Linked DNA regions of Neodiprion lecontei. The protein of the gene in region 1 binds, or shares a complex with, the protein of each later gene. Links are inferred from orthologs where the notes say so. Each region holds a gene or a part of one and is shown on either strand. Other genes may lie near its edges.

Region 1 (5,754 bases):
CAACGAGTGAGTTGAGATTATCTTGACTCTGTTCATTCAAACCTTTACAGAGGATTGAGACAATGTCATCAAATGTAGAATCACTGATAATTAAATCTGAAAATGCAAAGACGCGATTATTTTTAAATGTACTGTTATAGAAAATGATGAAAAACAAGAATAATTAATACAGTAACTAACCGGTATTATCAGAACACTCGAAACATTGCATGAGAATTTTTTTGTTCACATCCAAATCGATGGTAGTTTCATTAACAGCTACTTGTTTAGTCACATCTAGTAACACAGACGACACTTCAGCTTGTGAAAACCACTCTTTTACTGCAGGATCCTTCCTATTATGTTTGAACAAAGCACACTTGACCGCATGCCTAAGGATTATTTTATTTTCGTTCTGTAACTGTTGTAAGTTTGCACTTTGTATATTTGTTTGGACAATTTATCATAAAATTTATTTTCAAGACATTTTTGAATTAATTACTTATTGGACGGAATATCTACCTCTGATAATGAAGCAAGAACTGTTTTCTTGTCCAATTTATCCAAATATTTGATGAGGCTGAACAATAACATTATCAATAGCTCCGTCTGTTCTGGCTTTTCAATCAACCATTTTCTCAAAGTCTTATTGTAAAAATCGAGAAAACTGGTATCTTTTCCACACGATTTTGTCAATGCAATAAAAAGGTCTTTGCTTTCAAAGTTTGTGATTAATTTATAACAGGTTAACATGACAGCTGATTCAGAAGAATCTTTATTGATGTTATCAAAATGAACGGAAGTTATTTTGTTGATTAGTTGAGCTAATTCTGTACAATACTTCAGGTCTTCTTCTGGAACTTTAGGCAAAACTTCGTCGCTTTTTTCTGCTCGGTCGTTTGAATCAAAAAATTTGACTCTCAAATTTTTGCGAGTCTCTAATGTGGTATTTTTTAAACTGAGAAACAAGTCCAGCAATGAGTCATACAAGTTTGAAATGTGAACTGAATCAAAATTTGCTTCAGTAGAATGAATTAGATTCAAAAGTGTCTCCTCAAGAGTAGACCAAAATTGTTGAACTAAATGACCATACGACTTGTAATCGGCGACGCTTCGATTTTTACTCCAATAACGAATGAGCTGGCTTATTTGTTTAAAAATCAAAGGTTTCACTGGTGAAATCTCTACCAAACACCATTCCAATGTTGGCATCAACTAGAACGTGAAAATAAAATATATACTTTACAAATTTTGGTATTCCAAATTTAACACTTACTTACTTTCATTGTTCCTAATGATCATCACTTGAGTTATTAATAGTTAGTATTAAAAATAATTTTACCTGTTGTTTCAGTAAAGTTTCGCACAAGATTTCATCCTCATTATTCAAAAGAATCACATAACGCAAACACTCGACGAATGCAGTGACCACTGCCAGCATCTCTGAGTAGCTGAGTTGAACGCTCTTGACTTTAAAGCTGTACGAAATAATTATGATTATTTGTTTGTTTCACTTTCTATTTGCTGCCCAATTACTTTTACTTAGGTGAACAATTACCCCTTCCGTAAATTATTAAAGAAATTTGTGTAAAAGTTCATCTTGTTCTCGTTTTGTATAGGAAAGTGGCTGATGAAGGGCAGCAAATTAGGATAAATTGCATTGGCGCTGCCATTACCTCCTTCTCTTAAAACATGCCACAACTTAGGTATTATGAGCTTTTCAATGCTGACTACTGTATGCCAACCCTAGAGAACATGAATTAAACTCTAATAATCAATTTGCTAATTCTGCAGCTGAATATGTACATTGTCATCCTTTCTATTACCTCTATTTTACATATTGCAAGAAGCACAGCCTCCCACACAACTGGCAAGACACCAGGATCTGTTTCATCAAGATTGTTCATAATGGTGGTGATCAATTTCTTTTTCTCGTTCTTGTACAATTCTTCGGCGTGTTGAATCATTGAGGCAAGAACATTGAAGAATCCAGCTCTGACTAGAGGTATTTCATGTTTAACCAATTTCCAGAACTTATTGTGTGATAAAATTTTATCGTGAATCTTTGCCACCTTCTCTATTTGCTGAGGAGAAATTGTTTTCAAGTATAAAGAGTATCCTTGTAAACTTGATATCAATAATCTCTGGTATCTCATGTCCATTTCTTCAGGTGTAACTGTCCTTAAAATCAAAGAAATTAATAAAAAATTTCATATGTCATTGACACATTACCCTCTTCACAAAAATACATAGTATTTTTGCATACTTATTATTTCCAAGGGTTTGCGGCGTTTGATTTGTTATATTGTCGCAGATGTAAGTCAAAATTTCTTCCTGACAGTGTGCAATTGCGTCTGCTAATTTATTTGGTGGGAATGTTTGCTGTAAAAAGTAAATGGGAATTACTTGCGGTCTGGAAGATTGTTTACCTGCTGTTATTAATTATTATACCTGGAAAGCATTGGTAGCAGCAGAGGCTGCAGGCGCGTATGTATCATACTGTGACGTAAACCACGGTCCAGCCAGCTGTTTCAAATACGGAGCGATATTTCTTCCCGCAGGTTTAACAATGGCCAAATGCGCCACATGCGCAGCTTCTCTAACTCTATGTTCCACATCAATAGCAAGCAGACAATATATGCGGGGCCAAAATGGAAGGACTGCTAGAATAGTTTTTGCGGTCGAGTTGTTGCATAGCTCAGTAAACTCCTGCAATGCCTGTAAAATTTTCTGAGCATAAAAATACCGAACCAACAAATTCAACGAGGATTCACCTTTAATTTTGTCGTTCCATCTTTTTTATTCATTTTCTTCAACAGCAGTTGAAAGTGAGAGTCCAGTTTACTCATGTCGATTTCGTCCAAGGTACTAATCGTTAGTCTTGGTAAGAGGGGAATATATCCTCCATCCTTTGCCCCTGAAAACCCAACGAAGTTGGGCATTGAGGCTTCGAGCAGCTCTGCACTGCGACCGCTACTTGATGGCTATAATAAATAGTTGAACTCTTCAATTTTAGACCATTTGTATCAACAGATATAGAAAATGATGAAATAAAAAATTGGACATCAAAATATTAGATTTATTAATCTATAAGCTGCCAGTCAAAGACTCTGGCAGGGATATGAAGATTGGTATCTCTGTCTAAAACAGCCAGCGACACACGCTGTCATCGTTACAAATGTACTCATAATACAATTGAACAAAATATCAGAAAACAGCTAGTCAGTGAAACCCTGTGGATATCACATTCGGTGAGTATTAATTGAATAAAAAATAGGCGGGTGACAAAGCGAATTATTCGGTAAAAAAATTGAACATATTTTTCTGACAGCAGATTGCTTGTAATAAAACTTGTTGTCACGCACTTACCCTTGCATTATTTTTAGTACGTTGTGCCTGTTTGTTTTTTCCCATTTCAACGAGTCTCTAAAATAAAACTTCCAGACTGTATTATAGAAACTGTTCAATATTATTAATGTTTTGACAAATTCAACCCTTGAAGAATTTCTAACCACATTTCAGCCAGTGATGTCCGTGACTTACGTATCGCTCCACAGTGTATAAAAAAAATGTAGAGATACTAACAGCTTACATTTCACAACCCTAAAATTCGGTCAATCAGTAGTGCTCTCTGCGTCGCGCAACTCAAGTCGGTAAACGGTCGGTACGTAAAGACGACAGGACTAATATTATCATCACGTGTACCCAGATGGTTGATGCAGTGTCGGATGTTATTATGACTATGAAACGACCACCGAGCCGTACACCGTCGCCAACCCACAACCATGCAAATTCATTTACGGCGATTCATTTCAACCCAATTCAGCAATGTTAATCTTACTGCATCTCCGTCATATCGACAAAAATAATTTTATTTGAATCCGTGCACAACATAGATATACACGATTGGCTGTTAGAAACCAGTTATTGATATAAACAATAGGAAAATAGCCGGAGGTATTATGAAGGACATATGTAATGGTACTTGTATGTAACTTCTGTCCTTGTAATCGGCAATGTCAATCTAACTCCACCGGATAAACAAAAATAACATTATCTAAATAGATGCGCAATAAACATGCACATGGTTTACTGCTAACAGAGTTAGAAAAACCACTTCTTGATGCAAAGGATGGGAGACATAGTCAATACTATATATAGGATATCAGAAACTCACGAATGGATATCACCTAAGGATAGATTTTCCAAATTCTTTATGATCAAATTTTCATCAATTATCTACAATATCTCTGTCAAAAAAATACAGACGAAAGGTTGTAAGACCTTTCGGAAGCTTCAAGAGTTTTCCGCTTCCAATAATCCATTGGTTTTTTCTGAGACAAGATTCTGATCTATCGAAGTTTTCTGTAGATTTCCGCAAACAGAATTTACAAATTTTGCAGACCTAGGTAGAAGAATTTCATGAAGTGAAGCGGAGACATTGGTAGAACGTTAATGAGTTACATTACATATGTTAAAATTACAAGGAACTTGTTAGAAATTCATGTAATTGCTTCGTAAGTATCCAAGAAATATGTGTCGTTGATGAGTTATTGGAACAGCATCGGGATCCAATAGTGGGGTGATTGTCAGTTTTGGAGAAATATATATATACATATAGGTAAAAAAAAGCGCAGGTAAATTTGAATTTACGAATTCACTTTAACTAAACTAGAGAAATCCGACGGTATTACGATTCCACATGCATTACATGTTATTGAAGCATGAGTTTTATTGACAATGCTTAAATTTACGCAAGAATAAAATTGTCATTTGAAAAACTACAATATGTTAGTATTTCACCAGTGAAAATAAGTTCACTTATGCTCGTTTCCACACCACCGCAAGCGGTAGAGCACCCGGCGCGTTTTTTTTTACGTGGTATCCCCAGTAGGCCTACTCCACGGAGAATACTTGCAAGATCGATCTTACGTTCTTCGAAAACTTGCACATGACTTTTTTTCACATGTTAATTATGGTAAATTGTTTTTCCCAATCAATTTGAACTCGTGTATATTCGCAGTTCAGTCGAAATTTTTCACTTCGTATATCCCGCTGACTATTTATTATCGATGAAAGATGATTGTTTTAATTATAGATGAAAGATGGTTGTTTTAATTATGGATGAAGGGTGATTGTTTTTATCTTATAAGTGAACGTGAATTGACTTTGGATGTTCGCGCACGGGTTTTTTCCTATGAGGTATGAGATGATCATTAAAATGGAGAACCTGGTGAATACGCAACACAATCAACAACTAAACCAAGATTGAAAACACGAATCGCTGTAAGACGTTGGCATTTACCTATTGAAAGACGATGCAGAAATCTTTGAAGAAATGGAAACGAATCTGAGTAGAATAAGCACAACCACCAAAATACAACAGAGCTGTATAATTCTATAGTGAAATACAAATCGAACATGACCTATGAGCGACTCAAGAAAAAAACTACAGCAATAAATTGTACCACACTTTGTAACCACCAACTACATCGCTAAATCTATATATCGGTGAAAAAAAAGATGACTGACTCTGAACCAGACCTGAACTAGACTTAAGCCATACCTAAGCCTGAAAAATGAAGCGTTAATTTTTCAGTATAGTCATTAAAACTCAGTTACCTGGAACAGACGAAAATATAATTAGTAACATATGTCGATACAGGCAGAAATATACTTATCTTAAAATTAGGTAAATAAAAACTGTAATTAACGAAATAGAGACACATTAATTAATTGAAACAGACATAAGATTTAATTAGCTGAAACAGACAA
Region 2 (6,949 bases), on another chromosome or scaffold:
TCGGTGGATATAAAAATGATAAATAAACTCACCGTTAATATTGCAAACAAGATCTAGTGATAAACTAATTTCTGAATTCAAATATTGGAATGAATAGATATCTCCAATTTAAAGTTGAATAATTTCGACGCTTCAAGAATATGGAGAAAATTACATTCATTCCATAATGTTGTTGACTAGAGTAGTGCTCTTTTGACGGTGAGGTATTCGAGATACACACTCAACTTCCTTTCCACGAGGAACCCTCCAAAATGCAGAAGGTACTTTGGCGTCACCGAACCGAGTTAATATTTATTTTGAAAAAATTCGAACGTTCAGTAACCGTGCTTTAATAAAAAATATTTCTCTTTTACAGACAAAGAAAGAGCCCATTCATTCCGTGCAGGTCTTCGGCCGCAAGGTAAGCCTGAATGATATTTTACATATTTCACTGGCTCACATGCTCGAAAAAATGGCGACCGCGTTTGGTTAGTCGGCTTTTTGACGTTGAGAAACTCGTTAAACACCTTCCACCCATCCGTAATCATCAATTTATTATCTTTAGAAAAGCGCAACCGCTGTTGCTTATTGCAAACGCGGTCGTGGCAACCTCAGAGTCAATGGACGTCCCTTGGAAATGGTCGAGCCGCGAGTGCTCCAGTACAAACTTCAGGAGCCAATTCTCCTTCTCGGCAAGGTAAGGTTTCGTATTATTTGAACTGTTTATTTTCCATCGTTTCTCACTTTCATTTCCTAAACGTTATATTTTCGACTTCAATGAAGTTTTTTTTTTATTCAATCGACTCACCCGCCTAATCCTAACCTCAAAAATAACCTCATCAAGGCAAATGTGTTGGTTTCTAGCACCTATTTTACAACAGTGATGTTTACTTATTCCGAAAATGATTTTCTGAATGAAATAAAATAAGGAATCTGAGACTTCTAACATTAACTCATGCATTGTACTGTCAAAACACCTACTAACAAATTGATCATAGAAATTATACTTTTTTTCTTAGGAGAAATTCTCAGCCGTCGACATTAGAGTAAGGGTTAATGGAGGTGGACACGTTGCCCAGATCTATGCCATTCGTCAGGCGATTTCTAAAGCTTTAGTTTCGTACTACCAAAAGTGTAAGTATTGATCATGGATTATTATGAATTGTATTCTTTCCATTCTATAAGATGCTAGTCTAATTAATGACCAAGACAGCATATGTTTGTATACATATATAAATTGTGTAATACCATTAATTTTATTACATGGTGTCAAGAAAAATCTTTGTTTCAATTTTTGATTTATGTAATAATTATTGCACCTTTCTTTTGAAGAATCTTGCAACTATTTTCTAGTAAAATGATATATTCTTCCTGTTATAGATGTCGACGAAGCGAGCAAAAAGGAGATCAAAGACATGCTCATTCAATACGACAGAACCCTGCTTGTTGCGGACCCGAGACGCTGTGAGCCGAAGAAGTTTGGTGGACCGGGAGCTCGTGCCCGCTACCAGAAGTCTTACCGTTAAGCACACTTATAACTGTATATGTCATTTTATATTCTATCTGTGAAAGACCGAAATAAATGGTGTGTACAAAAATAATAAATGGATGCCGGAGTCTTCATTTCACTAGATAACTAGCTCTATCATGTTACTTGAATCTAAGACTCTAGATAAATTTTTGGCATGTTTGCTCTTACGTTCTTTATTCCTATATTAAATTTTTTTCGTTTATTCCTATTTCTTCAATTAAACTCAGGAAGAAGTATTTGGAAAAAATATAGTTTTTACCCATGGAACAAAATACTTCTGCAAAATTTGAACTTGTGGCTTCGAAATGTGTGAAAAAATATATTTATTTTTAATATCTGTAACTAAGGAATTTATTTTTCAAGAACAAATACTTTTATAATAATTTTCACTACTCAAGTTTATTGTTAGCATGATGTTGGGTCAAATTTTAGCTTTTACCAATCCTGAGGTACGCCTCTCGATTACTGATGTGTTCACGTATTGCGCGTATGCAGGCAGAGGTATGCATATGTATTGTAGGTTTGCAATAGAGCCCTCAATAGCCGTCCCGTCGTTGTTGACAGACGTGCGGAAATGTGCCAAACATTTCCGAAATTTTCGATACGTCAAATTTATGAGTAAATACAAATATGAAGACTCGATTTAATACGTACGATCTTGTGTGCTCTGTCACAGAGCTGCAAAGGTGGGTAAATTTCAGTGAAATGAAAATAATTTCAAATGAAAATAATTTAAGGTTATATCTCTGTTTTAGTTTTATTCCGATTACAAGTTTTTTAATCACAATGTTCATTCGATTTCATTGAATACTCAGGCTCATCGGGATGCGTGTCAACCAAATTTATGACATAGACAATCGAACTTACCTCATTCGCTTACAGCGTAGCGAAGAGAAAGTCGTTCTTCTTCTGGAGTCAGGAAATCGAATTCACACAACCGCTTTTGAATGGCCCAAAAATGTTGCTCCTTCTGGCTTCAGCATGAAGGTGAAATTCGATTTTTATTGTGCAGTTACACATTATTATTCAAATTCCTAATACTTGGGCAATTTATGTAGATGCGTAAACATTTGAAAAACAAACGTCTCGAGAGCTTGAAGCAGCTGGGAGTTGACCGCATAGTAGATATGCAATTTGGCACAGGAGAAGCAGGGTATCATGTCATTCTGGAATTGTACGATCGTGGGAATATTGTGCTTACCGATAATGAGATGAATATTTTAAACATCTTGAGGCCTCACACCGAGGGAGAGAAAGTAAGGTGTGTTGTGAGATAATGCTAAATGTACTCCAAAGTAAACATTGAACTTCATTACTGAAAGAAGTATCTTTCCTTATAAAATTGTAAAACTCGTATATAATCGGACGATTATAAAACACTCTTAGGTTTGCTGTGAAAGAAAAATATCCATCCGATCGCGCTCGCTTGACGACTATGCCACCAATGGAACAGATCCATGAATGTGTGTTGAGTGGAAAAACTGGAGAGCCATTGAAAAAAATTTTAAACCCACACTTAGAGTTCGGCCCTGCTATTATAGACCATGTTCTATTACAGACAGGTTTCCCAGTCAATTGTAAAATTGGAAAAAATTTCGATGTAGCCAACGATTTTCCAAAATTAGTTCTTGCTCTTGAGGCGGCTGACAAGATTTTTACAGAAGCTATTAAAAGCATAAGCAAGGGTTACATTACACAGAAGAAGGAAGCAAGACCTTCGCAGGATGGAAAAGAAGATTACATTTTTGCAAACGTAGAATTTCATCCCATGCTTTTCGAACAGCACAAAAACCTCCCCTTTAAAGAATTTGAATCATTCGATCGTGCGGTAGACGAATTTTTCTCTGGTCTTGAAGGACAAAAATTGGACTTGAAAGCTTTACAACAGGAACGAGAAGCTATGAAGAAGTTAGACAACGTTCGAAAGGACCATGATCAGAGACTTGTATCCTTAGAAAAGACACAAGAAATGGATAAGCAAAAAGCGGAACTGATTACACGGAATCAAGTTTTAGTGGATAATGCTATTTTAGCGATTCAAAGTGCTCTGGCCAATCAAATGGCTTGGCCAGATATAGAAACGCTTTTGAAGGAAGCTCAAGCCAGAGGAGATCCCGTTGCAGCTGCTATAAAGCACCTGAAATTAGAATCGAATCATATCAGTTTACTTCTGAGCGATCCATATGAAAATAGTGACCAAAGTGATGACGATGAACCTGAGTTAAAACCAATGATTATTGACGTTGACTTAGCTCATTCAGCGTTCGGGAATGCTAGGCGATATTACGATCAAAAACGATCAGCAGCAAAGAAACAGCAAAAGACAATCGAGTCACAAGGAAAAGCACTGAAGTCTGCAGAGAAGAAAACTAAACAGGCATTAAAAGAAGTTCAAACCATACACAGTATCAATAAAGCAAGAAAAGTGTACTGGTTTGAAAAGTTCTACTGGTTCATCAGTTCTGAAAATTATTTGAGTATGTGTTGAAAATTAACATCGTTTTTCAAATAATTTATCCGGTGTTAATGCTAATGTTTTTCCAGTAATCGGTGGCAGAGATCAGCAGCAAAACGAACTAATTGTAAAACGGTACCTTCGACAGGGGGATGTTTATGTTCACGCAGATTTGACTGGGGCCAGTTCCATTGTAGTAAAAAATTCTGGGACTGGTCCAATACCGCCAAAGACTTTGGCAGAGGCAGGGACTATGGCAGTTTCATACAGGTGATACAGCAGTGGAGTAGCAAGTGTCGTGTAAGGGAAAACTTGAAGTAAGAGTGAGCAAAGTACCTTTTTATTTTCAGCGTTGCATGGGAGGCAAAAGTTGTAGCCGGTGCCTGGTGGGTAAACAGTGATCAAGTATCAAAAACAGCACCAACCGGTGAATACCTGACCACAGGATCATTCATGATACGTGGAAAAAAAAATTATTTACCACCATGTCAGCTTGTAATGGGATTGGGTTTTTTATTTCGACTTGAGGAAAGTTCTATCGAGCGTCATAAAGACGAAAGAAAAGTTCGAACTTTGGAAGAAGATATTACATCTGAAACAAATGCATTGTCAGATCACGAGATTGAATTGGAAAGTGATTCTAATGATGAAGGTATTTAATTGGGTATATTTACCTTGTTTTAATGTTAATGTGATAAAATATTGTTTACCCTTAGAGGAGACAATGATAACTTTCGATGCTTTGTTTCAACTTTTCTTACAGAGGAAGATACTGCAACACAGAAAACTCAACTATTACCAATTGCAGAAGGAGAATCCGACGTAACGGAGAAATTAAACGATGCTGATAAATCCAGGTCGGATAAACAAAGTGATATAATAGAAAAAGATAGTGGTAGTGATTCTGACGAAGGACCACACTTTCCCAACACACAGATAAAAATTAATCTGCCTGGTAAAACGTAAGATTCTCAACAGAAATTATTTATAAATCAATTCTAGTATTTTGCCTTGTAGTTATAACTTTGAGAGACACTGAAGATTTTTAGGTTTATTCTTTTATCTTGTTGCACTTATGTTTTATATCTTACTTGCAATAGATTGAAACCTCACTTGAACACAACAAGAGATACAAAACCTCAGAATAAGCTCACAGAACAAGAAGAGAATGTGATTTACCTTGGGGATGGCAAACCCGTTGTATTAACAAATAAACAAGAGAAAGATGGGTCAAAACTGGATCAAGAAAAAAAATTACCCGAAAAACAAGACAACAAAAATGAAAAAGAATCTAAACAAAAAGATCGCGAATTACCTAAAAGAGGACAGAAAGGAAAGTTGAAAAAAATCAAAGAAAAATATAAAGATCAGGATGAAGAAGACAGAAGACGGTTGATGGAGGCATTGAAGGTAAGTACATGATATTTTTCGTGGCTGAGAAGTACAAAAGCTGTTACAAATTGCTAGTTCAGGTCTTTAAATTTACAGCCGGCAGGGGCAGCCAAAGAAGATAAGCGTAAAAATAAAAACAAAGATCCCTCTGGACCAAAACAGCAGGGTAAAAAAAAGGGAACAGCTTATATGCCAAAAGTATCGACAGTAAATCCTTATAACGAAGAAGATGGGGAGGAAGATGTGGGACCAGCTCCGGAAATAGATATGTTGGATCAATTGACTGGCAAGCCAATTGCAGAAGATGAGTTACTATTTGCTGTGCCGATAGTTGCTCCCTATAATACTCTTATTAACTATAAGTACGTGAAATTCAAGTGATTCATAAAATTTTGCTTACCTTAAATGAGCAAAATATGTTTACGTTATCATTATATTTTTTGATACAGATACAAGGTAAAGTTAACTCCAGGAACTGGGAAAAGAGGCAAAGCTGCAAAAACTGCTGTAGCGATGTTTTTGCGAGATAGAGGAACTACGCCTCGAGAAAAGGATCTATTGAAGGCAGTTAAAGATGAAGTTATGGCCAGAAACCTTCCTGGAAAGGTCAAAATCAGTGCTCCGCAAATGCAAAAACTGAAAAAGTAAGGAATCATGTTAATGAAACATCATGATCATTGTATTCAAGTGAGGTGTAGATGGTGGTCAAAACGTGATAGTCGTACCGGTTTTACAGGCTGTATATATGTGTATGCAATTCCGTAAAAAAAAAGATATTTAATTCTAAACAATCTTTGGACGACCTTATTTCAACACTCACCTGATAATTATTTCATAGCTTATTGTACAATGAACATACTGATCAATCGGGAAGATATAACAAAAATGATTCAAAATATTTAATCACAATCATTATCAATACAGGAATAGTAACATAGGGTAGTTGCTGATAGTGAAATAATGTATATATTAGCTGATAACGTCTAAAGGGCGGAAACTTTAAAATGAAAATATTCATTGGAATTAGTACGATGTGGTGAAATTTATTAGGAACACAAGTTAACTCTCCTGTTCCTTGGTGTTTTACTCTTATTTACACTTTTATACTCCCCCGGTTTGATGGTGTTACTACTTTTCACTGTCGGAGCATCTCTCCATGATTTTGCAGGCTTTTTGGACGATGTCTTACATACGTCCTCGTCATCGTCGCCAAACATGTCCTCATCACTGTTGTTTTCGACTAGCGATTCTTCTGATTCAATGAGTTTCTTCTTTGGCTTTGTTAGCACTTTTGGTCGCGATTTAGTTCCCTGTGTCTAAAATTATTAACCTTTAAATGATCGGACCACTGCAGTGTCAAAAATTTAAATATCCATAAAGGAGGCAACGAAAGAAATTAATAGAAGCATAACTTCAATATGTAATACCTTTGTTTCATCATCAGATACTGTTTCATCAGGGTCATATTGCTTCTGTGATTTTTTTGTTATTCGTTTCAATGGTTTCTGGCCAATATCTTTATTAACCACCTCTGAATTCTCATCTTTTTTGTTTTTCTTCTTTCTCTTGATTTTTATTTCAATTTCCGTGTC

What was found.
Region 2: E3 ubiquitin-protein ligase listerin (region 1) and nuclear export mediator factor NEMF homolog share a complex: the UniProt entries of both Drosophila melanogaster proteins name them as parts of the ribosome quality control complex. The link is inferred for Neodiprion lecontei from reciprocal best matches to the Drosophila melanogaster genes Ltn1 and Clbn.

What each region holds. Positions count from the first base shown.
Region 1 is NC_060260.1:8,073,551-8,079,304, forward strand, and holds the start of E3 ubiquitin-protein ligase listerin, read right to left. Parts: upstream 3,544-5,754; 5' UTR 3,394-3,543; coding exon 3,349-3,393; intron 2,964-3,348; coding exon 2,754-2,963; intron 2,698-2,753; coding exon 2,431-2,697; intron 2,362-2,430; coding exon 2,246-2,361; intron 2,161-2,245; coding exon 1,806-2,160; intron 1,726-1,805; coding exon 1,538-1,725; intron 1,458-1,537; coding exon 1,322-1,457; intron 1,195-1,321; coding exon 502-1,194; intron 401-501; coding exon 181-400; intron 97-180; coding exon 1-96. UniProt on the Drosophila melanogaster protein: E3 ubiquitin-protein ligase component of the ribosome quality control complex (RQC), a ribosome-associated complex that mediates ubiquitination and extraction of incompletely synthesized nascent chains for proteasomal degradation.
Region 2 is NC_060261.1:7,470,173-7,477,121, reverse strand, and holds nuclear export mediator factor NEMF homolog, read left to right. Parts: upstream 1-2,056; 5' UTR 2,057-2,140; coding exon 2,141-2,196; intron 2,197-2,325; coding exon 2,326-2,497; intron 2,498-2,568; coding exon 2,569-2,771; intron 2,772-2,896; coding exon 2,897-3,987; intron 3,988-4,054; coding exon 4,055-4,235; intron 4,236-4,315; coding exon 4,316-4,617; intron 4,618-4,728; coding exon 4,729-4,927; intron 4,928-5,065; coding exon 5,066-5,375; intron 5,376-5,453; coding exon 5,454-5,719; intron 5,720-5,806; coding exon 5,807-6,005; 3' UTR 6,006-6,145; downstream 6,146-6,949. Other genes in the region: 40S ribosomal protein S16, read left to right, coding at 252-260, 356-400, 545-676, 999-1,113, 1,360-1,505; serine/threonine-protein kinase VRK1, read right to left, coding at 6,404-6,673, 6,785-6,949. UniProt on the Drosophila melanogaster protein: Key component of the ribosome quality control complex (RQC), a ribosome-associated complex that mediates the extraction of incompletely synthesized nascent chains from stalled ribosomes as well as their ubiquitin-mediated proteasomal degradation.